4 linked regions of the Rhinolophus ferrumequinum genome follow. The protein of the gene in region 4 interacts with the protein of the main gene of each other region in a pairwise test. Links are inferred from orthologs where the notes say so. Each region holds a gene or a part of one and is shown on either strand. Other genes may lie near its edges.

What was found.
Region 1: the proteins of SGTA (region 4) and GRN interact in binary tests that used the Homo sapiens proteins (3 or more experiments, as listed by UniProt). The two-hybrid records come from large-scale screens. The link is inferred for Rhinolophus ferrumequinum from reciprocal best matches to the Homo sapiens genes SGTA and GRN.
Region 2: the proteins of SGTA (region 4) and ZG16B interact in binary tests that used the Homo sapiens proteins (3 or more experiments, as listed by UniProt). The two-hybrid records come from large-scale screens. The link is inferred for Rhinolophus ferrumequinum from reciprocal best matches to the Homo sapiens genes SGTA and ZG16B.
Region 3: the proteins of SGTA (region 4) and ZG16 interact in binary tests that used the Homo sapiens proteins (3 or more experiments, as listed by UniProt). The two-hybrid records come from large-scale screens. The link is inferred for Rhinolophus ferrumequinum from reciprocal best matches to the Homo sapiens genes SGTA and ZG16.

What each region holds. Positions count from the first base shown.
Region 1 is NC_046304.1:39,390,735-39,398,069, reverse strand, and holds the start of GRN (progranulin), read right to left. Parts: upstream 3,021-7,335; 5' UTR 2,924-3,020; intron 2,662-2,923; exon of another isoform or gene 2,500-2,661; intron 868-2,499; 5' UTR 833-867; coding exon 804-832; intron 351-803; coding exon 206-350; intron 86-205; coding exon 1-85. UniProt on the Homo sapiens protein: Secreted protein that acts as a key regulator of lysosomal function and as a growth factor involved in inflammation, wound healing and cell proliferation. Regulates protein trafficking to lysosomes, and also the activity of lysosomal enzymes.
Region 2 is NW_022680357.1:4,336,002-4,343,188, forward strand, and holds ZG16B (zymogen granule protein 16 homolog B), read right to left. Parts: upstream 2,703-7,187; 5' UTR 2,647-2,702; intron 2,557-2,646; 5' UTR 2,529-2,556; coding exon 2,474-2,528; intron 2,250-2,473; coding exon 2,144-2,249; intron 991-2,143; coding exon 648-990; 3' UTR 518-647; downstream 1-517.
Region 3 is NW_022680357.1:819,084-825,924, forward strand, and holds ZG16 (zymogen granule membrane protein 16), read left to right. Parts: upstream 1-3,969; 5' UTR 3,970-3,994; intron 3,995-4,887; 5' UTR 4,888-4,894; coding exon 4,895-4,949; intron 4,950-5,112; coding exon 5,113-5,245; intron 5,246-5,925; coding exon 5,926-6,232; 3' UTR 6,233-6,323; downstream 6,324-6,841. UniProt on the Homo sapiens protein: May play a role in protein trafficking. May act as a linker molecule between the submembranous matrix on the luminal side of zymogen granule membrane (ZGM) and aggregated secretory proteins during granule formation in the TGN.
Region 4 is NC_046301.1:60,666,546-60,674,371, reverse strand, and holds the start of SGTA (small glutamine-rich tetratricopeptide repeat-containing protein alpha), read right to left. Parts: upstream 3,012-7,826; 5' UTR 2,890-3,011; intron 1-2,889. Other genes in the region: THOP1 (thimet oligopeptidase), read left to right, coding at 4,475-4,490, 7,207-7,419. UniProt on the Homo sapiens protein: Co-chaperone that binds misfolded and hydrophobic patches-containing client proteins in the cytosol. Mediates their targeting to the endoplasmic reticulum but also regulates their sorting to the proteasome when targeting fails.

The sequences.
Region 1 (7,335 bases), on a different chromosome or scaffold from region 4:
GGAGGCAAGAGTAGCCAGGAGAGCAGTGGGCATCGATCTGGCAGGGCCTGCCCAGACGCCTGCTCAGCACTGTGGGCCATTTGTCCTGGAAAGTGAGGAGAGGATAAATGGGAGGACCAGAGTCTGGTCCCCTCCTGTGGCCCGTTCCAGATGACCCTTTGGGAAATCCCAGCTGCCAGCTTTTGCCTAGGCTGAGGGTACTCACTAGAACGGGATTGCAGCAGCTGTAGCTGGCTCCTCCAGGGTCCAGGCAACAGGCCACAGGGCAGAGCTGTCCATCTGGGCACTGCTTTCCAGCCACCAGCCCTGCCACTAAGGCCACCCAGATCACCAGGGTCCACATGGTCCACCTGCAGAATATCAAGAGGCATTTGGCAACTAGCTTAGTCCCTGCCATCCCTGATTCTGGGGCCAGTCTCCTCCCAGGCCCAGGACTACGTGAGCCTCCCCACAACAACTTGTCCAGAGAGGAAGCAAGTTGTAGTTTCTGAGATTCAGTTTCCTACATGTGTCCTGCATGCGTGTCACACCTGCACCAGCGCATGTACACCCATGAGCATGAATGCTGACATGAGTACATATGAATCTGTGTCCCCAACATGGTCCAGCACTTGAGTCTCTGGGTGAGTGTGTAGACATGTGGGCATGTGAGAATCAGGAAGATTTGTGGCTTTTGTGGGTCTGATCTGTGGGAAATGAGGCCACCTCTGGGGGGGAGGGGAGGCCATCAGTAGCCATGGGAAGATGTAGCTGGGGTGCAGGGAGGGAGTACCGTCCTGAAGAAAAGTCAGGGTTCCACTTACCCAGCGAGCCCCTCCAGATGCCTCCTCATCTGATACTGTGCTCACACCTGCACTCTGCAAAGGCCTATTGGTGAGAGGTCACATGATGACATGGTAAACCACGGGGTTGTGAAAGTTGTGAAAAGGGAAGTGATGTGGCCAGTGGAGTCTAGGCTGCCTCTCCCAGAGGCCAGCCACAGCCTACCCACTGACTGTCCTGTCCTTACCCAGGGAAAGGGACACACAGGCTGGGTCGCACAGCCTTTAAGACGCCTGTGTTCTAATGGTCCCCCAACACCACCAGGCCCTTTTAGACGCCCAGCGTACCATACCCCTGCCTCGGCCTCTCTCCCTACCCTAGAGTTGAAACTCTGCTGCACAGGGAGAGAAACCACGAGTGCCCACCCAGCTGCTGCTCTGAGTCAGTAGAAAGAACTAGCCACGGTCTGTGGGAGGGGAGAGGTGGGGAGCGTGCAGCCTCTTGCTTCCTACACAACTCTTCCCCCATGATCAGCCAGCCCTGCTAGTTCAGTGGGGCAGGCCTGGGAGACATTACCCTCCCTGCCTAGAGGGGCAAAAACAGCAATGTTTGCTGAGCTTTTCAGGAGCCAGTTTAAACACTCTATATTTTCTTTCTTCTTTGCAACCACCAACCAAAGTAGTATTATTACCTTTACTTTTCAAAGGAGGAAACTGAGGCTCAGAGATGTTAAGCAATACACCAATTTTATATATCAAGTCATGGAGACAACAGGCTTTGACAGCTCCAGGGCATATTGGAACTGGGTTCATTTCACATGTGGCACTATGGACAGTGCATGGGAATGAACAAACCCTGGGAGGATAGAGGCCTGGGGTCCAAGCAGAGAAGGGGGACAGAAGTATTTCCTGGACAGGACAGAAATGGGAAGCACATGGGCTGCCTGGATACTGCACTTGGGTCCTAGACCTACAATTGCCACTGATTGTGAGTGCCTCAAAGTTTGCTCCCTGTCTCCGTGCCTCAGTTCCCACTGAGTGTGCATGGACAGTGCAAGCGCACTGCGTGGCAGGGCGTCACACACACAGTCGCTCACATCCTCTTTCCCTCACCTGCCCTCCCTCAGAGTCCCCTCCCTAGCACAAAGACCATTCCCAGGAGGCCACCTTCCGCCAGGTAAGGATGAAGAAGGCTGGCTCTAGACCTTGGTCCCTTTCAACTTCTCGGGGCCCACAGCTCCCAGGCATCTACAGCTGGCCCCACCCACTTCTTGGCTTAGGCCAGAAGGAGTGCCTGTCGGTACAGATCTCAGACTATTCAGCACCCTAGTTATTTATTTATGTTTATTTTCCTTTTGGGGTATCCTGAGGTTAGGGAGTATAGTGTACGCATCTACTGAACACACATGCGCACACACTCAGGACCAGGGATGGGGGAGGAGAGGGCCCAGTTCCTCTCAGGAGTGTTCTGAGCTATGGCCTCTCTCACCCCACGCCATCCACACGGCCACACCAGCGAGGGACAGGAGCCTCTTCAAGCCCCCAGCTCTGTCATCTTCCACTAGATGGCATCCCCCAACGCTGAGTGCCAGGAGGAGAGAGAGATTCCCAAAAGGTGAAACAATCCAACTACCAATGAGCAGGAAAACGTGGCTGGGAGAGGCGGAAGTTAGCTTGTCCCACCCTCAAGAGAGGAAGTAAGGGAGAGCCAGACACAACCCTCCCAAGTCCCTACTACCTTTGAGAAGGCCTGAGTCTCAAGTCTAAATCCCAGCCGTCTGAGCTCCTGGCCAGGGTGGGCGCCTCTCCCTCTACCAGACGCCGTGGGCACTACCCACCACCAGCAGCAGCACCAGCACCAGCTGATGGGGGGCGGAGGTCTTCAAGAACGGAGTGGTCCCTGCTTTGGGAAAAGGGGCTGCAGCTTCCGGGATGCTGGGATGTAGAGGGAGATTGCCCTTTTCTAAGGGGGTCACTGCCATTACTGCTTACTCCCACCCTTCATAAAACTCCCTCCCATACATCGCAAACCCCCAAAGGAGATTCTCTAAATGAATCTTCTGCCTCCCAGCTAAAACTCCAGAGGAACATCAAGTCCCCACGACCCCATGGCCAGGCCCTTGAAGAAGCAAGGGAGAGGTCTGCGCAGCCGACCTCCTTACCTGTGTCCCGTTTGGCGCTCGCTGGGTAGCAGCCACCCCACAGCTCCAGGACTTGGGCCTCGCAGCGCGATGGCCCGCCCACCTCAGTTTCCATTGGCCAGATGTCCGGGCTGTCGTCCTCCCATTCGCTACTTGTCGACGTAGGGGCCGGGCCATCCTGGAGTGCTGTGTTTTTGTACTCAGTACACTCACCTCCCAGCCTGACTCTCCCACCCTCCATTTCTAGGGATCATGTGATCGGAGAATCATGTGATGCCCTGGCTTGCTCAACCCGGCTTCGGGACCGGCCTCGCAGCCTCCTGCGGCCGCCTAGTAGAGTTTGCTGGAGACCGGGCAGCGTCTGTCTGGAGATATTGACAGCCAGGGGAGCTGCCCCTTCAAGGGTGCGTTCAAGGGCATTTAAAGGATGTCCGCTTCTGCATTTGGGACATTTGTGCGTCCTGTTTCTATTCTATTCAACAAATTCAGATTAAACTTTGAGGTTGAAGGAGAGTTGTAAGGGTACCAGGATAAACAGCCCTCCGGCCCTTTCCTCAAGGTGCTCACAGCGGAGGATGGGGTGGAGAAGGGAGACAGACTCAGATTAAATCTAATTTAAGGTACAACGTCGTGTGCCAAATGCTGTAGATGGGTATAGGGAAGAAGTAGTAGGTTAGCTCTAGGTGGGAAGAAGAGATTTAATCCTACCTTGGGGGCAAATTTTTGAACTGAGTCTGGAAGGATTTTAACGTAGGTCGGAAGAGCTTGAAGAAATGGCTAGACAGGGGAAGCTGGGAAGAGCACTAGGAAACCAGATGGAAAGGGCAGCCTTGGGCAGGGATTGAATGCCAAGTTCAATGGAGTAGGCTTGAGGAGTTGCTGGGCGCCTGGCCCAAGGCTGGGCAGGGGATGAGTGCATAGTGGAAATGGCTTACTAGTTTCAGATGGTGCTGCCTTCCAGGAATTGACATGGCCGGTGAGGAGAGAAAACGTACTACATAGAATGGATTAGCCAGCAACAGAGCCAGACTGCTCAGTGTCAAAGGGCCTGGTCCAGGCAGAGATGGGTGATGGGAGATGCACCAGGAGAGAGGAGAGGCCCAGAGAAAACCTGGTGCTGGGACTTGGAGGAAGGAATGGAGAGTGCTGCAGACTAGGGAAAGAGCTTGAGCTGAGTGTGAGGCTGGGATAGGAGCCAAATAGGAGTCTGGGTATGGAAGCATGGCAGGGTTGAGGAATTCTGTGGCAGCACTGCTCAGCTTCATGTTAGAGAGGGTCCAGACAGTGAGTAAGGCTCCTGCTGAGAATCTGGGACTATTCTGCACATTGGTACATTTGTGCATATTTTCCTTCCTGTGTATCCTGAGGCAAGGGGGTATAGCTTATGCTTCTATTGATAAAGTACATGCATGCACACACAATTTTTATGAAATGTTAGGCAAATCAATAAAGTAACCTATTAATCACAACTATACAGAACCAGAAGGAAAAAAAGACTAGAGTGACTAAAACAAGTCAGCCCTCTGTATCTGTGGGTTCCACATTCATGGGGTCAACCAACCAGGGATCAAAAATATTTGGAAAAAAAGGTTACATTGTTGCTGATGTGTACTATATCGTTAGGCCTATGATGGTTGCGTCTCTATTGAACATTTTTCTCTTGTTATTATTCCCTAAACAATACAGTATGGAACTATTTACATAGCATTTACATTGTATTAGGTATTATAAGTAATCTAGAGATGGTTTAAAGTGTGCAGGATGTGGACAGGTTATGTACAAAAACTGCCATTTTATATAAGGGACTTGAACATCCATGAATTTTGGTATCCATGGGGGGTTCTGGAACTTACCTCCTGCTTATACCAAGGGATGACTATATCACAAAATCTGTAAGGAAGTGATTTTCCCCACCAGGGACATTTGGCAGTGTGTGGGTACATTCTAGGTTGTCACAACGGGGGGGAAGTGCTATTGGCATCTAGTGCATAGAGACCAGGGATGCTGCTAACCATCCTACAAAGCGGAGGACAGACCTCACAACAGAGATTATTTTGCCCCAAATGTTGGCAGCGTAGAGGTTGAGAAACAGTCTCTAAAGGATCATAAACTTTCTCCGTGAAAGAGCTCAAAGTTTTCCTCACATAGAGCCTCTTTTCTCTTATTTCATGTATTTTAAATAAATGTTGTCATCTGACTTCCCAGCATCAAGATTATAGAAAGATCAGGGGATGTGTGCATGCTGTAGTTTCTAGAAGGAGTAACTTTGAGTTTCGCAAGGATTAAAAATGTTCAACAGGAAAAATTGCAAAAAGCAGACTGAAGAACTTCGAAGCCCAACATCCTAGGGACATTGCGTCTAGGGATAAACAGTCTTGGATGACTTAATGGGCCATATGGACATCACTCTTAAAGGACAGTAGTTAGTAGTCAAGGTATGAGCCTGAGCATTCACAGAAATTTGAATCATAGGCAGTTACTCTGATTGTTACAGCAAAGAAATGTAAAACATATTTATTAAATAGCTTGTCAAAATGAATGCAGTGAACCTCCACTTCAACGGAGAGGGTACAGTGGAGAGACATCAAGGACTGCAGAACTTCTCCCATATTCCTCAAAAAACACTCCAGTGCCCTTATGCCTTCCAATTCAGGAATCTCTCTCCCTCTGTCTTTCAACTTTAAGTAGAGAGGATCATTCTGTGAACAGGGAAGACGGAAAAGAAGCAAATTTCCAGAATCACAAAGTGATTTTACATAGAATAATCCATCCCCATTTGCCCCATTCCCTGACCTTCCCAGAGGCCTTTGGCTAGGCCTTGTTATTTTTAATTTTGATAAAATTAATTGACTATAAATGTGAGGGTTTATTTCCAGACTCTCAATTCTATTCCATTGATCTATATGCCTGTCCTTATGCCATTCATTATCACTGTCTTGATTACCATTGTTTTATAGCAAGTTTTGAAATCTTCAACTTCTGGGAAGTGGGAGTTCTTCAACTTCTGTTTAAGATTGTTTTGGCTTTTCTCAAATTTCTATGTGAATTTTAGGATCAGTTTCTGCAAAGAAGACAGCTGAGATTTTGATAAGGAACGCACTGAATCTGTAGATTAATTTGGGGTGTATTGCCGTCTTACTAAGTCTTCCTATCCATGAACATGGGATGTCTTTCCATTTATTTATTGGTTTCTTTTTTGACAGTTGCCAAGTATTCCACACTATAGATGTTACATAATTTACTTAACCATTCTCATTTAATAGACTTTCACGTTTCCAATTTTTTGCAGTTACAAATAATTATGCAATGAATATTTGTGAACATGTCTCTGAGTGCATATGTGGGGGTTAAATTCCTAAAAGTAACATTGCTGGGTACAGGGTATACACATTTGAAATGTTAATTACAAATTGCCTTAAAATTTTTCCACTTTACATTCTTAGTCACAGTATTTAGGGAAACTTATTTTCCATAATCTCATCAACATTGGATACACCACTTAAAATTTTTTTTGCCTATCTTATGACAGAAGGTATTTTCGGGTTGTTTTATCTGCATCTCCTTGACATCAGGGAAGCTGAGTATTTGTGCATATGCTTATGCTGTATATGTATTTCTTCTGTGAATTACCTGTTCTTAACTGTATTAGTCAGGGTTCTCCAGAGAAACAAAACGAATTGCTGTGTATATAGAAAGAGATCTATTAAAAAAAATTGGCTCACCTGATTATGGAAGCTAGTAAGTCCAAAACATGCAGTGTGAGCCAGCAGGCTGGAGACTCAGGAGAGTGAATGATGCAGATGAAATCCTAAGGTAGTCGCTAGAGAATTTCCTCTTGCTTGGAGAGGCCAGTCTTTTTGTTCTATGAAGGCCTTCAACTGATTGGAGATGGCCCACCCACATTGTGGTGGGCAATTCACTTTACCAACAATTTACCAATTTAAATATTAATCTTATCCATAAACACCCACCAAGTTGACAGATAAAACTATCTTATCATCCTTTGTTCATTTTTCTATAGTGTTTATATTTTTTTTGTTGAATTGTGAGAAGTCTTCATATATTCTAGATATTACCTATCTTGCAGATATTTCCTCCAATCTGTCATTTGTATTTTATCTTTGATTATGATAACTTTTGTGGTCAGAAGTTGTGTTATTGTTACATCATCTGAAATCTAGCAATCAATCTCTTCCCTCATGACTTCTGCCTTCTCCGCTTGCTTAAGCAATTTTAAATATGTTCTTCCTAGCTGCAGCCCCAGCTGGACTGGACCTCGGAGGCCAGCCCTTTGCTGGATTGAGGCACCAAAGTGACAGGAGGTCCCACTCAGGAGCCTGGCACGGAGAGGCCCCTGGATGTGTCTCTCTGGCTAAGTGGTTCATCCAGGGCAACTCTGTGGCTGCGTTCAGAGGTGGTGGTCTGGATACAGG
Region 2 (7,187 bases), on a different chromosome or scaffold from region 4:
ACAACGCCCTGCATGGATCCTAATTAACACAGATGCCACAGCCATCTGTTATCGTATGCTTCTGCATTCATCCCCCATGGGGTGCCCTTCAGCTGGACACCTGGCTTCTTTATATTCCCAGTGCTCAGGAGAGCCTGGCTTGGGTGAAGTTTTGGCAAATGTGTGCTGAGTGAGTGAATGGGTGAATGAATGAATGAATGACTTCCCTGAAGCCCCTTGCATAATCAGAGAAGTCTGGGACTGAGCCTGGGCCAGCGGAGACCTGCTGGCTGGGCTTGGGGTGGGGAGTCGGGGGCAGGGCATCCTGAGAGCCGGGAATCCTCAACGCTTGTAGGATCGGCCCAGGTCTGCATAGACAGGTCCTGCATCCTCAGCAGAATCACCAGGGCTTGGAGTGTCAGACCCACCTCCTGTCTCATCCTGCGGCTTGGTTCACTGAGTTCCACCCCGCAGGACTCAGCCCTCATACACTCAGAGGGCTTTGGTTGTACCCCAGACCAAGAACCACACCTGGAAGCACTGTTCTTGCAGAAGCTTCATTTATTGGATTCCAATTCAGGGTCCCACCTCAGTGCCGTCAGCCCGCCACTAGCCAGACGTCCTCAGCAAGGTGACCCCACTCCCCATCCCTGGGGACCCAGGAGCACTCAACTTCCCGTCTTCTGTTCTGGTGGCTCAGTGTCAAGCTCTTCTTGAGGATTATCCCACTTAAAACCAAGGCCCGTGACGCCGAGACCCTGATACTGGCCAAAGAGTCCTGTGAGCACCTTTTCGGGCTGCTCGGGGTAGACGACGAAGCTGCGGCCATCCTCTTTCCCAAAGGCAGCCCAGCGCCCGATGTCGGTGTATATGACCAGGTACCGGAGGTAAACTCTGTGCATGCCGTACACCCCTATAACGTGTTCTCTCGGCCACAGGAGGAACTCCTGCATTTTCCCGCCTGCGACCCCATATATCTCGCTCCAGTTGGATCCATGTTTCACCTGGATACTGGGAGAAAGGGGGAGCTTTGAATACCCCAGATCCAGGGTGACTCCCCACTCCCCAGGGCCTCTACCCCTGCATCACCTCTCCCCCCCGCAGCCACTGGCAAGGAGAGCAACCCTGTCACTGCAATACAAGTCCCTGAGCATATGGCTTGGGGTTCCTGAGACACGTACTGGTGTCAAACCCCTGCTCTGCCGCTTTCGGACTCTGTGGTCTTGGGTTTGTTATCCAGCCTCTCTGTGCCTCAGTTTCTTCATCTGCAAAGTGGGAGTGATGGTTGGGGGCAGGCACTGAGGTCTCCATAAGGAGAGTTCTACACAGTGCCCGGTCACCATGACCCTCAGGTGGTGCCAGCGGTCATCATTGTTCAGAGTGGGGAGCTGTCCCCTGGCCAAGCTTGGGCTTTCTGAGCCCAAGCCACTCCAAGTAGATCAGGTTGCAGGCCTAAGAAGCAGGTGAGCTCCCACACTTACCAGGGTGGGGGTTCCACTTGCTCCACCCATCTGGACTCATCTGTGTGTCCTCGGTGCTTGTCCTAGAGCCTCCGCCTCCACCTCCCATGCCCGCAACTCGTCCCCTGTAGTGCCAGCTTCTCTGTCCCATTCTCTCTCCCAGGTCCCTGGGACCGCTTAAGTGCAGAGCAAAGATTTGCCCCAGGCTTTGAGCAAGGACATCACCCCCACATTAGGGGAACGTCCCTGGTCTTTCTGCCTGTACACACTTTTGGCAACTTGTGTTCAATCAGGGGTCCACTGACCCTCACTTCCTTTCCTCCTTGACCCTGACCTTCCCCCCTGATTTTTCCATCAGGCATTCTCAGACTGAAAGGCCGTTTTTGGTTGAGTTGGGTTTGGGTGGAAAGGAGAAAGTAGGGAGAAACATCACCTCCCCCCCTTTTTGAGATCAATGACTGGACTTGCAGGTGGAGACAGAAAGAAGTGAGGTTAGCACGCAGGAGAGGAGGTGGGTGAGGAAAAGGGACACATGGAAAGGTGACGGCTGGTGGCTCATGACTAAAGGACTCAAGTGGCCTCAAAGAGTCATCAAGAGCCTAGTGAAGATGTTGGAGAAGAGGCGGTGATCCCCCTCCCCAAGTTCCCAAGACTGTGGAATGAATTGGGTCGCAGTGACAGGGCCGTGCCCTGCTCCTACTCACCTCTTAAATATGCCTATAGGGCCCACAGACACCCGAATCCCAGTTATGTCATTTTCTTCGTCTACAGGGGTACTGAAATACGTTCCTCCTCCATTCCCATACATCTCTAGATGGATAAAAGAACCAGGTGAAAAAAACAACACACACACAGTAATATACAGGTGATCTTTGCCCAGACTTGATGCAGCCCCTCCAGGCAGATGGGACGGTCCTGAGACTAGAATTAGTCTGTAACAAGGGCTGGGCCTAGACTCTGGTCTCCTCGTTGGACGGGGTGAGGGTGGCCACCAGGGGGATGGGCTGGAGGGAGGCAGACCCAGCCAGACTTACGCTGTGCCCAGCAGGTGGTACTCCATAGGAGGGTGAGGGTCAGCCACAGCAGCATGGCTTCTGGCTCGTGAGTCCCAAGGCTCCTGGAGAGAAGGGATAGGCCACCTGACTCTCAGAGAGGGGCCCTGCCTGACCTTGTTGGGCCCTATCCATGAGAGGGGAGCACCACCTACCTGGCCAGGAAAATCTTGTCACCCAGTCCTGGCACTGGGAGTCTTGCACCTGGGTGCCCTTCACTTGGCCCTTTATACTCTCCCAAGCCCTGTGGGCCCCCATCCAGAAGGAAGGAGTGGGGGCCACCAGGGGGACAGGAAGGAGCTGGTCGGCGGGGGTTCTTCCTGGGGGAATCCCCGGAACCATCCTAGGGGAAGCTCCCGGACATGCTGTGTTTGTTTTCTTGGACCCAGGGCCTATACAAACAAAATGGGACAGTGACAGGGATTTCACTGTCACCTCTGGGTCTCTCCCCTCAACACCTGAACTAAATCTTGACTTCAGAGGTGGAGGATGTTTGCTGAGAGCCCTTCTCAGGTTGGCCAAATGGGTTTCAACCCCATGGGGGGGATGTAGGTCGAATGTCCGCAGAAGGTCCATGGGGCACAGGAATCTTGTCTTGTGCACAACTGAGTTCAAGACCTCATTCAGGCCTGGGCAGAGCCTGGAGTCGTGCGGGGTCCCGGGAGCCCAGGTCAAGCTCCCAGCTCCCCCTCAGAACTGGACTGGACGACCCAGTTCTGTGTGTCTGGTGTGAGGTGGAAGACATATCCCAGGGCTTCCACGGCCTGTCACTTGGAAGATGTCTGTGATCTTTCCTCTGTGCCAGGCCTGGGAGTAGCTAAGGATGAACTAGCCTTAACGGGCTATAGGATGACCAACAGCAAAGGTGCCATGACAGGAGGCGCAGAGGATTGGGGACAGGTGAGCCTCCAGGCCAGTCCTTCCAAAGGCACCTGCGGCCAGGCCAAGGGGTCAGATTTTATCTGGAAGGTAACAGTGTAATTCTAAAAGGGTTCTGGGGACCCTGCTGGTGTGGCAAGTTCAGGCTTTCTGCGAAGGGCTGGAGCTAAGGCTGTCCACAGGGGTCTCCCCAACCATTGAGAAGAGCCACAGGTTGTCAAGATAGGGGCTGAATGGGGGTGTGGGTGCTGGAGCCAGATCAGGTCCAAATCCTTTCTTCCCTACTTGCTAGTCATGTGGTTTGGGGAGCGTATGTCACCTCTGTGTGCCTCGAGTATTTCATTTGATATATGTGGATAATGGTAGAAACTACTCATAGGATGTTATGCAAATTTAGCAAGATGCTTCTCCAGCTAAGGGTCTGAACACCAAAGACTTTATGCCATGTGGACAGGTATACAAGGTTTTTCTTTGCAGCATCCTTTGAAACCACAGATTAAAAACAACAAGACTTGTCCATCTAGAGGTGACCCATTACATAAACGATGTTGTCATCCATACAGTGGAATACTACACAGGTGTGAAGAAGGAATGAAACACTCCTGCTGTACTGACACATTGCCCAAGGACACAGGCCACTGGAGACACGAGGGCTTAGAATGTCCCCATTTGGCTACAAGGCTGCAAAGAATGGCCTCATGTGTGCACAGACTTGCTTTGGGAGTGCTGACTCACCAGGAGCTGGGAACACTGGTTTCCTCAGGATGGCAGTGCTGGAAGGCCTGGAGAATGGGGTGGAGGCCCTGTTAGCGGGCACCTCCATTATCCACAGCAGGTACCTAGGGCAGGGGTTAGTTACTATGGTCTGCAGCTGAAGCTGGCCCTCTGCCTGTTTCTGCACAGCCCATGAGCTAAGAACACTTTTTACATTTTTTAAATGATTAGGAAATACTCAAAAAAAGAATAGTATTTTATGACACACAAACATTCTATGAAATTCCAGTGCCATCGCCCACCAATAAAGTGTTACTCATTTGCATATATTCTGGGGCTGCTTTCAACTAGAGGCGGAGCTAAGTCCTTGTGACAGAGACTTTAAAACCTAGAAAACCTAAACTGTGTCCTCTCTGGCCCTTCACTCACGTCAGCGGACCCCTGGGATCCCTGTTCCTGGGAACAATCGCAGCCCTGTCCATGGTGCTGGATACGCGGGGCTGGGAGGTCGGGAGGGGAGTTCCATTTAACAAACACAACAGAAAGGTGCTCTATCCTGAAAACTGTGCCCTTTCTTCTGACTCTGCACTGGTTTCCCTGCAAAGGCTCCTTGATGCTCAGGCCTCCCAACCCCCAGGCTCCAGAAACCTCCTCCTGAAAGGAGGTGGAAGAGGCCTAGGACCTCACAGCACAGCTCTGGGAGGCAGGGGCTGGCAGGTTGCACAAAGGGGCTTGTGTTCCTGCCCCAGCCCAGCCGGAGGGTACTTTTGCGAGTTTTGCTGCCAATTCAGGCATTTTCTTTCCAGCTCCAAGCTGGCAGGGTTTGGCGCCCAGAGAGTCTGTCTGGGCGAGGCCTCCAGGAAGCACTACCTGGGGTGGGAGTTGGAAGAAGAGACAGGTTTCTGGCCTGAGCAAAGAGGGGATAACTGAACTTGCCCAAAAGCACACATGAAGCACATTTTCATAGAGCTGTGAACATAATTATAAGGGATGGCCCACGAATGCACCCTCATACACACACACACACTTACTCAATAGCGCCACGCACAGGAGCTTGCGCATGCCCTCCACACACGTGCATAGCCTCGTGCACACCTGCATAGGAGGCCCCGAGCCTGTAGGAGACCCTCCTCCTCTGTCACTCTGGCCCAGTGCTGGCCCTGAGCCTGAGGGAGACTCAACACAGGCCCTTTGTCCCTTGGGATCAGAGCTCCCCATGAGGAGATTTACTGGACATTTACAAGGTCATAATCTCCTCCATGGGCGTGCCCCAGACCTCATTCTGCCAGGAGCCCCAAACAATGGGCCCTTCTTCCAGCAGAGGCAGGCCCTGGCCTGGCTGGTTTGGTTTTGGGGACGGGGCGGGGGGGTGGTCAGGGCTGGCTCCCGTGAGCTCCCTGCCCTCTGAGTGTGGGGTTCGGGCATCCTGAGGCATAGCAGACAGGAGGGGCTCCATTCCCTGCCCACTCGTCTGGCCAGGCCTCCCTGCCACCCTATTTGGGAAGCCCTCAGCCCATCTTGGAGGATGGAACTGTGTCACTGGTTCAGGTCTCAGGGGTAAGCCTGGCCTGGCTGAGACTCCCAGGGCAAAGTGGGGGAGCTGGTTCCTTCACATGGCCTCATCTGATCCCTGGGGCCCCAGAAATCAGAGGAAAAAGCCTGCTGGGTGGGGGACGGGAGTGACTTTTGTGGCCTTTGCTGGCCTTTGTGTTTTTCCCTTGAGTGGCTGCTGCCAGGCAGAAGGTCCACATTAAGGGAGGGGGCAATTTGGCTTTGCGTTTCTGAAACTCTCAATGCTTTCCCACTCATTCACTTACTCACTCATTCAAATTCTTAATTGGATGCTGAGCTCTAACCTAAGCATTTATCTCCACTTTTCCCCAAAGAAACTCAATCCTTTTCTTGGAAAACCAGGACACCTAACCACCCATTTTATCTAATCTTTTATGTAATTCAAATTCCGTCAGTGCTAGTGCTGAAAAGAAAATGAATTCTACCCAAGTGTGAAACTGAGGGAGGCAGGGGATGCAGGTTCTGATTCCCTAAGGCTGCCCTGGCAGGTGTACTCGTTACCTGGTGTATTAGTCAGCATGGGCTGCTGGAACAAACACCATAGACTGGAACACTTCAACAAGAAACTGTACCCTACCTGAAGTCCCCGGAACCTCTGGTCCCAGCAACACTGAGGCCTCTATCCCCATTAACAGGACCATCTGCCCCCCGCCATTAACAGGGCCTCCCTCCTTTGAGAGACTCCACCATCTCTCTGAGGCCCAGCGTTCTTAAAGAATTCTTCTCTTTGTAAATATCTCCTTGTTGTTTTTGAGAGTTTCGAGGTGTCTTGACAAGCAGGTATGTGGGTCTAGGCCTCCATCCTGACCCACACCCTAGACCTCCTTCCATCTGCCTGTCCTTTGAATCTGCTTTTCCGAACAGATTTCTGGAACAATGTTCAAACGAAACTATGGTTATTTCCAGATGATTGGATTTAGGACATTTTTCTACTTCTCTGTTCTTTTTTTTATTTTAAAGATTTTATTGGGGAATGGGAACAGGACTTTATTGGGGAACAGTGTGTACTTCTAGGACTTTTTTCCAAGTCAAGTTGTTGTTCTTTTAATCTTAGTTGTGGAGGGCGCAGCTCAGCTCCAGGTCCAGTTGCCGCTGCTGGTTGCAGGGGGCGCAGCCCACCATCCCTTGTGGGAGTCGAACTGGCAACCTTGTGGTTGAGAGCCCGTGCTCCAACCAATTGAGCCATCCAGGAGGCAGCTCAGCGCAAGGTGCTGGGTTCAATGTTAGTTGCAGAGGGCGGAGCCCACCATCCCTTGCGGGACTCGAGGAATCAAACTGGCAACCTTGTGGTTGAGAGCCCACTGGCCCATGTGGGAATCCAACCGGCAGCCTTCAGAGTTAGGAGCATGGAGCTCTAACCGCCTGAGCCACAGGCCCGGCCCTGTTGTTTTTTTTAGTTGCTTCAATTTTTTTAAAGATTGTACCAATTTTATAAAAACAAAGTGATTATTCTTTTAATAACTGAGATGCATTTTTTAACCTACAACTTCACAAAGGATATAAACGTGGAAGTCCTCAGTGTCGGGACTAT
Region 3 (6,841 bases), on a different chromosome or scaffold from region 4:
TACCAGGGGTGCCAAAAAAATATATACAAGTGGACACTTTGCTCAGCGTTGCTCAAGCAGTAGTGACATGTGATGCTCTCTTATTTTCTGTTCCACTTTTGAAATATCCTGGTCTTGAGCTGTTAAACCAATTTCATGGCCCACTGAATAAGGCTAAAACCTACAGTTTGAAAAACCCTGTCCTTGAGGATTTTGAGACATTTTTTTTCTTGTTTTACCAATGCAAGTTCTGTAAGTTCACATAGCTTAGAAGTGTTGGATGGAGGACCTCATCCTGGAATTCTGTCTTTATGTCCAGCTTTCTTCTGAATACAGAGTTTCTCCAGAGGAATCCTAATTAAGAAACTAAAGGAAACCCAACTGCAACTCTGGGAGAGGAGACACACAGAGGTGTGAAAAGACTAATGAGGAGCATTTCATGGAAGTTTCCCTGCAGCCTCGGCATTTGACAGTTATTTTGGGGTGCACCTCCTCTGTGCCAGGTGAGATGCAGGAGATAGTTCAGAGATTGATCAAACAGTCCCTGCCTTCGAACATGCTTGTGTTTAGCAAAGGAGGCTTCCATTGTAAACTGATAAATGACAGTGCAGGGTAATTAGAGCCAAGCTGGTGATGTAGGAAGCACAGCTGGAGACCAGGGAAAGGAAGGAGGAATTCTGTTTGCAGTGGAGGGGCTGGGAAGAAATGAGGCAGAGGTGCTTGTGAGAGGCTTGGTGGTGGGTGCAGGGGAAGGTGGTGGTGGTGGTGCCGGTGTGACTGAACGTTTTGAAGGGAGAGGACACTCAGTGGGCTTCTAGAAGGAAAACCACACCTGGAGCAACTTGCAGGCGCTGCGATGTGAGATGCAGGCGTCAGGAGGGCAGGGAGTGGAGGGACCCTCTTTGCCACTTAGTGAAGTCACTGCTACTCACTAGACTCTTCATTGAAGCAGTGAAGGGCGGACAGGAAAGTGATGTTCACAGATTTTTTTTTTATGGTGAAACCCTTTGTTCAGATGAAACCACCAAGGAGCCTAACGTGTAGGTGAGGAGGAAGAGGATTTTTTTTTCCTTAACAGGAAACGTATATGCCATTATTTAGAAATATTGTTTGAGAAATCCTTGATGGGGGTCAAGGATCAGATTCTCACTTTGCGGTCTGAATTTGCACCAAGACTTTGAGAACAAAGCTGTTTTGTCTGAGAGAGGGGGCAGCTCTCAGGCAATCCAGGAGGGCAGGAGAGAGGCTCCCAGCGAAATGGGGGAAGGTCCACGCATCTCCTGCTATGGCCTCCATGTCCATTCTTATCCACCCTCCAGTCCATTCTCCCTCTATCAAAATCCAGAGGGAATAATCCCTTTTAAAAGGCAAAACCCTTCCATGGCTCCCCTCACTCTTAGAAGGAATCCAAGCTCACGACCAGGGCCCCCCAGGCCCTGCGCCATCTGCTCAGGGCTGTTGCCCAGACCTTACTTACCACCAGCCACCCTGCCCTCCCTGCTGCTTCTAACTGCATCCCACACACTTCCTGCTTAGAGCTTTGGGGCTTGTTGTTCGCTCTGCCTGGCCCCCTCTTCACCCAAATTATTTGTGCTTCTCACCATTACTTCAATCGGGTCTCTATGCAAATGCTACCTGACCAGAGGGCCTCCCCGCAGACAAACAGCCTTTCCATCTCTCTTCGCGCTCGCTCTCTGCTTTGTTGATTTCTTCAGAGGCCGTATCATGCAGTCGCGTAGTTGTTGGCTGCCCTGCCCCACTGGCATTTTCACAGGTGGGGTCGGTGTGTCAGAGTGACCCTACGACAAGTGTGGGAGCCTGTGTTCTGAGGGTCCCAGATATGTCACGCAGGGAAATGAGGGCGTTCTCCCACGGTGTTTGCCTCAGACCTCGGCATGGATTGCCTGTGTTTGGTCTCATACTATGTTATCGATATGCTTCTAAGGAAGAGCTGAGGTGGATGACAGTGAGACAGGAGAGAGAGCACAGAGCTTGGGAGAGATGGAGAGACAGAGATGAAAGGAGGCAGAAGTAAACCAGCAAGGGAGGGAGGGAGGGAATGTAAAGAAAAAGCCTCAGAGCTGGAGATGTGGGGGAAGGAAGGTCAAGACAAAGGGAAAGAGTGACAAGAGAAAAATTCTGAGACGTTTTAAATTCAATTACAGCAGGCAGGAGAGGAAGAGAAACACAGGAATAATTAACCGGTTAATAGCTGTGGGCCAAATGACAAACGACTGCTCACATTCCTGAATGTCTGTGGAAGCTTTGAATCGACCTGCGGGCATCTCTCAGCCGACCACTAGATGCCACCGCGTCCTGAATGTGCAGGAACTTTCAGGACTGTCACCAGGAACCACTGAGAAGCAGTAAATATGTCTTCCTTACAGACCGTGCACTTATCCTAGAACTACCTCCTTTCACTTCACCTCTTCCAAGCCCCCATAGCTGCAGCCAATGTAAATCCTTTCGAAACAACTTACATCTTCCTCCCCCCAAAACATAATGTATGAAAGAGCCCTTCAACTCCAGGACGGCGGCCAGGTTTGTCTTTTCCACCCAGCCCTGCTGCTGCTGCTGGTGATTTCACGCCCCAGGACGGGGTTAGTTCGGGGCTACCATATGGCTCAGTAAACCCTTTCTTTTAAAAACGCTTTCACCCATGGAAGTCAAGATTTTTGTTTAACAAGAGAGAATCAGGAAAGAAAGGCAAACAGAGAGAGGACAGAATGGCTGGAATGAGGTCTGAGTCATGTCACCAGGACATGTTTGTTTTGGACTCCGATAGCTCAGACAGTGATGTATTCTCAGCATCCTCCTGGCTCTGGAATCTCCCCACCAGGAGCCCCACTCTCTTTCCAGCTCCTTGGGGTCGGGTTCCTTTTGTTCCCAGGAGCCCCAGTCCCAGGTGGTGAGCCTGTCAGGGGGTGGGGTGCTCTGAACGGTCATTAATAACCCAGGCTAATGAGTCCAGCACCTCCCTGGACTCCATTCTTTCTGCTCAGAGGACCTGCTGCCTCAGGGGATCAACCCTAGAGGGGCCACAGGGTAGGACCCAGGAATCCGTCCTGGGCATTTTAAGTGGCGAGGAAATCAGTCCTGGCAGAGAAGGGCCTGGGAAGAGAACACATCTCTGCCAAAACCCCAGGGAAGTTTCAGACCTATGGGGAGAACAATTGTCCTGCGTGGGCTGCTGGCCCAGCCTGGGGCCCGGGAGTTCTGAGGGCCCTGAGCCCAGAATTGCCCCCAGAGGGCGACCTGTTCACTGTCTTCCCTCAACTTCCCACTTGCCTGCTGGACTGAGTCTGTTCCTGGAAGGGGAACAGACCATTCAGTGTCTACGTCCAGCACCCTTCTCAGAGAGAAAAGGTTTGTGAAGGGTCTGGCAGATTGAGGATGGATAGATCGGGGTGGGGGTGTCGGGGGGGCAGCAAGTACAGCAAAATATAACCACGGTAGAATCTACAGGTGTGTATACGGGCATTCCCTGTGTAATTCTCCCAACTTTTGTATGTTTGGGGTTTTTTTTCATATAAAATATCAGGGGGAGAGAGAGAAAAATTGTTTGGCAAGTAATAGGCACCCCTGGTTGTAAGGCGTCAGCAGTGTAATCCCTTTCTAGGGAAACTGATATCTTGAATGGCTGGAGAGGTTGCAGGTGAGGGCATTTGCAAACACCCACTACAGGAGGAAGAGAATCTTAGACCACACCCAGAGGTGATTAGTAACTGCTGACCCCAAGCTGCTGACCCCTCGGTTGGTGACTTTTTCTTAAGTTTATTCTGCCCCTCCTGAGAGCTGGGCCTTGGCCTAAAGTGGACCCCACCTGCCACCTGTGACCCTTGGGAGGAGGGGCAGGATAAGATGTTCCAGACCCTGCTTGACAACTGACCCTAAAAGGTTAGTCATGTTTGCTCAGGAGGTGAGGTTCACACGATAACGAATGGGGGGAGGGCCTAAAACTGGTATAAAAGATCTGGAAGTTTCTGGGGGGTTACTTTGCGCTTGAAACTGCCAGGTGAGGGGTGACAGAGGCCTGGGCTAAGGTGACAGGGTGACAGGGATGCCTGGATTTGAGTTAGGGGGAGTTCAAGCTGAGCTAGAGAAGAGCCTACCTGGATGGAGTGGCAGGGGAGACCTGGGGCATCAGGGTTGGAGCCACCCATGGGTGTAGCGGTACCTGGATCTCAGAGGAAGGGCTGGGGACCCCTGGTTTGCTCAGGGGCACGGATATGGCCAGATTTGTGTTAGTGGGAACAGAATTGTGACAAATAGACCAGGCGCCTGGGATCTAATATCTTGAGCTGGTCCCAACTCCTACACCTCAATCTACGCCACCTCCACCAGAATTACTTGGGCCCTGGTGTTGCCAGTCTCTCCTATCACCACCTTGACTCCCCAGGTGACAGAGAGACACATCTTAAAAATGCCCCTTTCCTTCTGAGACCAGGGGGAAGCTAGGAACTTAAACTCTGCCCCAGGTGCCCTGTGAGCCAGGCCCACTGACCGCAGGCAGACTTCCGTCAGGTTTTCTCAGACTCCTGATGGGTAAACTAAACCATTTCCATGATTTGGAGAGTTCCTCTGCTTCTTTAGAGAACTTTCCTGCTTTGTGCCGGGAGGGAACGGGGCTTGACACTGCTTGATCCAGATGGAGGGTTAGGATCCATCTTCTGGCTACAGTCAGAGGAGCGAAAGGCAGAAGGGTGAGGGACACAGAAGATGAATTCTGCAAGGAACAGGACTAGAGACTACGGATAATCCTTTCTAAGCCCAAGACTGGATCGGCAAGGGCTGAGCGACAGGACCAAGGAGCCTGAGTCTCAACTCGAGGTCAGGGGTGTCTGGGTAAGTGAATTCCAGAGGAAAAAGGGTCCATCTTCACATTCTCCTTTCTTTCTTCCATTCTAGCGCCAGAATGCTGACCGTTGCTCTTCTTGCCCTTCTTTGTGCCACCGCCTCGGCCAATTCCAGTAAGTGAGAAGCTACGAGCCCGTCCCAAGGTCATTGCTGTGGCCAAAGTTTTCAGAGGCGGGCTCGAGGTGGTGGGGACTGAGTAGTGCGGGGAACAGGGACGGTGGGGAGAACCCGAGTGCTCAGGGAATATCTCCCTCCAACTCCCGCTTTCCCCTCCAGTTCAGATCAGGGCCTCCTCCTACAACGGAGAGTATGGCGGCGGCGGCGGCGAACGGTTCTCTCATTCTGGCAACCAGCTGGACGGCCCCATCACCGCCCTCCGTGTCCGAGTCAACAGATACTACATTGTAGGGTAAGAGTCTTTGAGTTTCTGGGGTTTGGGAACCCTGTGGCATCTTACCAAATTGGGAAGTTCTCAGCCACTTTGGATCACGTCTGTTTTAGTCAGTAAGTCCCAGGGATGACGTGGTGTATTAGAGGAGTTGGATTCCAGACCAGTGCGGCTGAAACCTACACCCCAAACACACATGATGACCGTGGGTGGATCGCATACCGTAAACTCTCAGGGGCCCAAAAGTTATCTAGGTTCGCCCCCACCCGAGGTGCGAGTCCCCTGTGGCACCTTCCATCTTTGCGTGTATCTTTCCAATCGTGGCTCTGCATCCCGGGACAGCACCGACAAGGCTTTTCCCTCCCGAGAGCCTTTTCGATGTTTGAAACATCCCTGCTTCTTTGAGGTAGGGGGTGGGGGCCGAGTGGGGGTCTAGACGGTCCATTCCAGCGCTGGCACTTACTGTCTGGGTGACTCTGGGCGCATTGTGTTACCTCTGTGAGGCTGTTTGTCGTCAAAACGAGGAGCTGAGGTCCCTCGTGTAATCTGCAAGGGCTCACGCAGCCCTCATGTACTGTGGGATGAGCGGGAGTCTTGTCATTGTCACCAGGTTGGAGCTGTCCACATACAGGCCAACAGGTCCCGGGCTCTGATCACGCTTCTCAGTGTCTCCCTCTCTTCCCTCCTCGCCCCTCCCCCAGTCTCCAGGTGCGCTATGGCAAGGTGTGGAGTGACTACGTGGGTGGCACCCAGGGAGACCTGGAGGAGATCTTCCTGCACCCAGGGGAGTCGGTGATCCAGGTGTCCGGCAAGTACAAGTACTACCTGCGGAAGCTGGTCTTCGTCACTAACAAGGGCCGCTACCTGCCTTTCGGGAAAGACACAGGCACGAGTTTCAATGCCGCCCCATTGCACCCCAACAATGTGCTGCGATACATCAGTGGCCGGGCAGGCTCCCTCATCAATGCCATCGGCCTGCACTGGGACGAATACCCCACTGACTGCTGAGCCCCAGCCACCTGCAGTGGGGGTATGAGAACCCCTCACCACTCACTCCATCCACGTGGTGCAACAAAACAATAAAAGGGCATGGCTAAGGCTTGTGGGGTGTGTGTGTGTGTTTGTGTGTGTGTGCTCACGCAGCTGCGATCCCTTCCTGACTCCGGGTGTCATTCTTGGCTAGGACCTCCATCTGGGGTAGAGTGGGAGGACGAGGGAAAGAGGTAAACGTTTTGGGCATTTCTTCATTTATCAAAAGGAGGTAAGAGTCCAGCTTGCACCAACTCTATTTTCAAGGATAGCTCCTAAGAGTGTTTACCCAAACTGAGGTTCTGAGGCTGAGGCCTCGTCGTGGCTTATTGCCAAAACCCCAGCTGTTCCACTCTCCTGCTGTTCTCTCCTCTTGTTCCCCGCCCCCCCTTTGAGATAGCACCAAAAGGCCACACCTCAGTCTCTTGATCTGAACCTGTTCACTGTATGTGGGTGGCCTGAGTCATTATCCTTTCCCAGAACCCACCTGACTCCCCAAGTTTCGCGTCATTGTGTGTCTAGTTCCTCCCCACCTTTACCCATAAGCCCTGGTTTTCTTGCTTAGCTCTCTCAGAACTGGGGTTCTCT
Region 4 (7,826 bases):
CTGCTCAGAGCTGGGCCCAGCCTGACACCGTGACAGCTCTTTTGCTTGCTGGCTGCTAGGCACCCGGTGTCTCTGGAACAATCACAACTTGTACGGCTTTGGCTGCTGGACAACACTGTCAAGGCCTACTCTCTCTCTGAACAGTGAGGCCTGTATGAGCTCTCAGAAGGCCCCCCGCGGCGTGGGGTGCATGAAGGAGCCTGGTGAGTGTGCACGGATGCTGGGGGTGGGAGCAGGGGTCCTGGGCCCAGTCCCTCTTTGGCGCCTTCAGAATCCCTTCCAGCTGTCGGCCCACCTTTTCATTTTATCATTGAAAAACAAAAAAACAAACAAAACACCACCAGCCTCCATTCATTTCCCTGCCCAGGACTGAAAGGGGAAAAGGGCACATCTTACTGAAAACGAGCAACCAGACCCTCACGCTGCAGGAAGAAGCACCTGTTTTCGGAAGGAGGCCCACCACTTCCGTGGGCGCTCTGCCCCTCCAGCAGGCATTCCACAGCTCCTGTCACAGACACAGGTGTCTGCAAGCTGGTACCATGTTCCTCCCTCCTATCCTAGAACCCCTCTTGTATCCAAGAAGGGCTGCCCCCAAACTAGAACTCGGGTTCCAGCCCAGCCCTGTTTTCTTCAAAAATGCCACCAGGATGTCCTGCACACTCAACAAATCCTCAACAGCTCCCTGAAACGTCACGTGGGCGCACACATGACCCGTCACCATGGGTGTGTCACCCGCTGGGCCTAATCTGAACCCTCTGTGCTCCACGCAAACCGACTGCTCGCCTTTCCTCTGACCCACTGGGGAAACTCTTACTCTATCTTCCACACTAAGCTTCAAAGTCACTGCCTCAGACAGAGTCTGGACACCTTCTTTTTCCAGCAAAGACCAAGTACGATTCCCACCTCTGGTCCAGCACCTCCTAAAAGGCTGTAGGACACTTTCCTGGCCTGTCTTACCCCAGTGGACTGTGGGCCATTGGATAGATCATCTGCCCTTGAACCCCAGCACTTGGGGGCGTTTGATCCATATGGACTCAAGACAACATAAGGTCACTGTTAAATTCAGAACCACACAACCAGGTTCCCTGTGGAGGTCATTCTCTTTGGGACTTGGTTTGCTCATTAGATCTTCAGTCTCACCTACCTACTCACAATCCCCTTTATTCCTTCAGTCCTCACTGAGCATTTCCTACCTCAGCCAGCATTGGGATTTGGCAGAAAAAATGCAGGATAGAGTAAGACTACAGCTCTCGACCTGGGGCCGAGGTTAACTCCATTTACAGTCACTCATCCTTCCAGAAGACTGAATTGTAAACCTCAGGTGAAATCCTTGGAGTCCCAAGGACCTTCCAGGCACTGAGCTAAGTGCTGTACATGCAATGGCTTATTTCGGAGGTTAGTAAACATTTTCAGAAAAGGGCCAGAGTAAATTCCTTCAACTTCCCAGGCCACAGGGTCTCTGTGGCAACGATTCAACACTACTAATACAATGTAAAAGCAGCCACAGATAAAGCCTATGCGATTGGTGTGGCTCTATCCATAAAACTTCATTTACAAAAACAAGCTGCAGCTGGACTTGCTCCCCTGACCAGTTTGCTGGATGCCTGGGTTGCTTTGTCTAATCCCCATCCCACAGAAAGGAAAACTGAGGCTTAGATGGATAGGTTGCCTCTCAAGGTCACCCAGCTAAGTCACAAATCAGTTTTGAACCCAGGCAGTCTGACTCCAGAGCTTAAACGCCAAAGTACCCTTTCCTGTCCCCACAAAAATGGGTGCACACACAAAACCTTGCACATGATTTCTTGTGCCTCCCCGCTCAAAACCCTCCTCCTCAAGCTCTTGCTGGTGAAGAACCAGTGGTATAATGGTAGGGTTTAACTTTGGGACTGCTGACATTTGGGGCTGACCATTCTCTGGGGGGCCGTCCTGGGCACTGTGGGGGTGTTGAGCAGCACCCCTGGCCGCCACCCATTCAGTGCCAGCAACACCCCAGTCATGACAACCATAGATGTCCCCATTGCCCAGTGTCCTCTCTGGTGGACAAAACCACTGGTCTAGAGAGAGGAAAAACAGACTGGTCATTCTCCAGTGAGCTCTTAACAAGCACCAGGAATCTGATTAAAAAATGTTCTAGGTATATTTAACCTCACAATAACCCTAGCAGGCATATATTTCTACAGTCTCTCTAGCAGAAGAATGGTGCTGCTCAGAGAGAGAAAGCGACTTGCCCAAGCTTACACAGCCAGCGGGAGGTGGTGGAGCTGGTCCTCAAGCCCAGATTTCTCCCGCCTCGCGTACAGCATGCAGAAGAGTCTAAGAGTGAAATAAGACTAACTGCTGATCCCTCTGTGCTCTCACTCTGCGCTGCGCTCTGTGGCTTTAAAACCACCACCCCCCGTCCCGAACCCCCCCAAGGCAGTGACTGTGACGACGCCCGTTTTACAGAGTGGAAAACTGAGACTCTGAGAAGTCAAGAGGGTGGCCAAGGTCACCCAGATGGAGAGCGGCGGCGCTGGGACAGGAGCCCCGACCTGAGCCTCACGAATGGGGGCCCCCCAATTGAAAGGGGCTGTTTCCCGACAGCAGCGGACACCCATAGCGGTATAACTACATGTGGGCGCTCTTACTTCCCGTTGTCTACCCACGGGCCTGAGAACTAGCATTTCCCGGGCCTGGGGTGCGGAGGAGGAAGGCCAGAGCTGGCAAGGGCCTGCCCGACGCCACCCAGCCTCAGTTTCCCCTCCGTGCCGCCCACTCACACAGCACACTGTTGTGGATCGCGGCGACCCCAGCCTCAGCCCGATCTCCCCTTACGGACCCCAAGGCCCCGAGAGCCCCGAGCCGCGGACCCCAGGCCCGCCCGGCTCAGCGCCGTGCCCACCTACTCACCGCTCAGGCCGCCGAACCCCGACCCACCGACGGCTGCGCCTGCGCACCGCGGCGGCGCCCAACCCCGCCCCCCCAGGCGCGACGCCTGCGCGGAAAGAGCCTCCTCGCGCGCTGGCTGTCATTTTGCGCAAGCGCGTCAATTATTCAGGTGGGCGTGGGGGGAAGTGACGAAGGTTAGAGGCGGGAACGAGCTGGTCGTTAGGGCAACTGACCTCTGCGACCGAGTGAAGGCCGGAAATCAAGACTGATTCGTCCTCTACAGCGGGAAGAGAGCGGTGCATGGTGGGACAGTGGCGGATTTCTCCGTGATAGCGGAGCGGGTCACGAGGCGCCGAGCTGGCCACGTGGTACAGCAGCATTTGGGTCTCGGGCGCCTAATTGGACGCAGGCGCTCTGTGAATGCGAGCAACTGATATCCACTATCTTTGTTCATTTATTCATCCACCCATTTACCCACGAATGCATTCATTCATTCTTTCAAGCCATAAATTGTAAAGGAATACAGAGATTGTTCACTGCAGGTCCCTAATAGTCAACAAACAGGTATTGCAAACCAAGTATAAAGACCAGCAGTGTTCACTCTCATTACCTTGTATTGGGGTAGACGGATTATAGTATAGTACACTAGTATATAAATGAATAAATTTCACTTAATGGGCAAGCGCTGTGAAGAAAAAATGGGGTGTTGTGCTTGTGATTGGGGAGGTAAGTTGGCTGGGATCGTCAGGGAGGGCCTTTTAACTGGATTTGAAGAATGAGGACAAACACTCCACGTACAGGGAACAGTGGAAATGAAGACTAACATAGAATTAAGCTTGGTATACTTAATAGAGGGTAAGTGATGAGAAATACCCTAGGATGACTCAGAACTGCCTACCACTGATGTTAAAGTTGCCAGAAGAGTTCTGCCGATTCGTTTCTATATTTAAAACGTATGCACGTTTAACGCCCTGGATTATTTTAATTTCTTTTGCAGAAATGAAGGAGGTGGGTTTGTTTTTGAAGTTTAGTTCTAGTAAATTTTTCTTTCTGGGTACTTTAGACGGTTTAAGATTTTGTTTGTTTTAACAGCGTTGTTTCGAAACACCTGTTGTTTGAAGTTCTGGATCCGTTTACTGAAGCTTTCTCGAGCATACTTAATTGCTTACGTTTCTGTTTTTTGTTTTGTTTTTTTTTAGGGTAGAGAGGAGACAAATACAAATCAATACGGGGACTAGAAGCCCAGGCGGAGGACTGACAGACAAAACCACAAAGATTCGGAGGTTGGGCGGGACTAGCCGTATGCGTAGGTTTCCACGGAAACGCCCCTCCCCCCAAGTCTCCTCCCCCATGACGCTGCGACCAATGACAGTCAGGGAGGGCTGCGGCGTGCCGAGTGTGAATGTTGACGCGCGCGTGCGCCCTGCGCTCGGTCGCGAGTGCACGCGCCCTCCCAGCATTCAGTGGGCACGCGGGCGGCGGGCGCCTCGGTAGCGAAGGCATCCCCTACGGCTACCGAGCGGACGGAGGCCGCTGGTCGCGGCAGCTGAGGCGACCCGACGCGCACCAGGTGGAAGGAGTGGCCGCTGGTGCACACCCGCCCGCCATGAAACCCCCCGCAGGTACCGGCTGCCCCTCGGTACATTCCCGCTCTCCGGACCGCGGCGCCCCTTGCACCCTCGTGCCTCTCGGAGTCGCGACTTGGAGCTAAGAGCGGAGCCAAGTGTGACTGGGGGGTGAACGGGACCCTGGCGGGGGCAGGAATTGGCTATCCCGGGGCCCCGTCTTCTCCACAGCAGAATGAATGAACTAGCTTTTCCAGCGTTTCACTCATTCTGCCAACTGCACGTCGCTTCTGCTAAGGACGGGTCGGGCCCTGGGGGGGATTCAGGGGGAGACCATGAGTTCTAGACGAAGTTCCAGAGCCAGAGACAGACGTTCAACAAGCAAAGAAGAAAGGGAGAGCTTTAGAGAGTGGTCGGTGCCAGGGCTGGTGGCTCTTCTTTAGAGAGGGCAGTCCTGGAGGGCTTCTGGGAGGAGGTGGCATTTCAGCCTGGACTCGATGGGGAAATGCAACTGTCCCGCCAAGACCTCGGGGAGGAGCGTCCGGGTGGTGGTAACCGTGAGGGCAAAGGCTGGTAGTAGGCAGGAACCGGTAACGCGTTTGGAGAGTAAGTCATTCTGGCTAGACCACAACTTTTAAAGGCAAATGTGTGCTAAGGAAGGGTTTTCATTAGGAGAGCGATGTGACTTGTTTACTGTATTTTAGGAAATCGCTCAGGTTGTTGTGTGGTGTCTCCTGGAATGTTCTCTTGCCCGCCTGTCCTCCCCCAGTTCTTTCTCCAGCCCATTGTCATGATGATAATTGTATTAATAATAGTAATTACAACTAGGGTTATGGAGGACTCAGGAAGGCAGGAATGTTGTCTGCCTTGTTTGCTGCAAGATTGTTAGCTTGGAGACCCAGCACATAGGTGGTAATCAGTCAGTAAGTGTTTATGGAATGAATAGGTCTGCTCCAATTTTTCAAATCCTAGCTCCTCCAGATGGTTTTTCTGACACTTGCGACTCATGGATCTATCACCTTTCTGAGCCCCTGGAACCCTTCTTTACCACGAGATACAGACCCGCAGTCCCTTTTCGTCAGTTCTGAAATCCAAAATACTCTGCAAACAAAAGATTTTTCTCTAAGTTTGCAGCAGCCATTTGGCCAGAAAATCTGACCTGTGCCGACTTGAAAGCCTTTTCCCCCCCGCTTTAGTGTATATTAGCGGTCCTCAGCCGGGGTGATTGTGCCACCCCAGGGGACATGGGGCCCTGCCTGGGCACATCTGTGGTTGTCACCACTGGGGAGGGACAGGGATGGTGCTCAGCACCCACCCCGCCAGCCCCCAGTGTTGATAATGCTGGTAAACACCTCTGCCCTGGAGACACCACAGACAGGTCCGAGGCAGCAGCACCTTGCAGACACCTTCCGTGTTCACAAGAGGAGGAGGCCAGAACTCCTTTGGCTCTGCTCAACTCCTGCCGTGCCAGAAGGAGGAAGGGAGGTATAGCTGGGTGTTTCCTGAAGCAGCCCCTTCTTCTTTATTACGCGTTCTACACCACTCCGTTCATTAAGTTAACTCAAGTCAGCCCACCTAGCTCAAGGTAGGTGTACCCATTCCAGGCCTCCAGGTGCTATAGGAACGCTGTGGAAGGGTGGGCTTCTGAGAAAGGAATGTGGAAAGAAAGACTGGCGGGGTAAGGCCTCAGGGCAGAGGGAATAAACTGCAGGAGGGCTCGGGAGACTGAAACAGGCCAGTGTGACTGGGCACAGAGCAACTGGCAAAACCAGCTGGCCAAACCTGCCGTACAGGACCCAGTAGAGTCTAGACAATGTAGATGAGGAATCAGCAAACTGGTCAGTAAGGGGCCACATGGTTTAGACTTGGTGGCCACACGCCACCGCCCATGTGAAGTTACTTTTAGCTCATGGCTATACAAAAACAGGCGATGGTTTGCCAACCCGTGGTGTAGACTGATGAAGGCTTTGAACTTGACTCGTCAGTGCAGGGTGGAGGCCTGGGAAGGAGATAGGAAGACCTGACAAGCAGACGTGCAGATTTACAAAGGTGGGGTGAGGACAGTACACCACTTCATAGCGGGGGGGTGGACGCAGACTGGGCGTGAGCCCCACTTCTGCCCCTTGCTGGCTGTGGGATCATCGTGGCGGGAGACTTGAACGCTCCCAATCTCAGGATTCCCTCCTACAAAACAGGCAAACGGATGCAGAGTACAGACCAGTTTGAGAATTCAGTGAGGGGACGAGCACAAAACATCTTATGCTCTGAACCCCACATGGAAATTGTCAAGGGACCGCATAGTATGGATCACAATCTCTTGTCCGAAAGCTCTCGGGTCTAGGGATGTTTCAGTCATCAGGATGTCCCCCTATTTTAGAAAGGTAATACAATACAAATGTCCTGTCACATCCAGGGAAGTCAGGGGTTGCCCCCTGTCATCACATCCTTTGAGTGAAAAGCAGGTATACATCAAATGTCCACCTGTCACTGCTGACACACACTGGGGCCGGGTCATCTCGGGTGAGCGGAGCGGAAGCGTCCTGGGCACTGGGGTGCTCACCAGCATCCCTGACCCCGCCTCCTCAGTGCAGTAGCGTCACTCCCCAGTTGTGACGACCACTTCCCCAGACATCATCCAGTGTCCCATGGGGAGCAGAGTCACCTGCCCATCTGTTGGGGGACATGGTGGTCCTCTCCCTCTGCTCTCCCCTTACTCTGACCCTAATTTTGGACGTGAAGCAGACACTGGCGTGGGGTTTTGTCTCCTGTGCAGCCTGTGCAGGAGATGCGCTGGACACGGCGGCCCCCTGCTCCGTGGTGAACTACCTGAGATGGGACCTGAGCGCCCAGCAAATAGGGGAGCTCACGATGGAGCTCATGGAGCAGACCAAGCGCGTGTATGACCAGGTCGGCTCCCAGAAGTTTGAGGACGTGTCCTATGAGAGTACGCTCAAGGCACTGGCCGACGTGGAGGTGTCCTACACAGGTAAGTCCAGGACAGGATCCGGGCGGGGACCCTGACACCCACCCCGCTGGGGGCCGCGGTAGATGAAGGCCTCCCCAGTGATGGGGCGCCGGTGCCCATGTGCCCTGCTTCACTTGGCCACCTGACACGTTTGGTACTCACGGTGTGTCATCTGAGGACCCAGAGGGGACAGCGTGTCTAATGGCATCCCTCTTCAAGAGCCAGCTCAGGTGCCGGCCTTGAAACTGGAGCCCCTCTCACCCCTTTCTGTGTCCCAGGGGATATTTGTTTTCTGTCTGAGAACTGAACTTGGCCCCTTTGCTTTTCTTCTCCCCGTGGGCTCCCCCCGTGCTTTGGGTAACCTGATGCTGTCCCGTGTCCTCATTGCCTCCCAGCTGAATCCTCTCCTCCTTGGGGTCTGTTTGCTC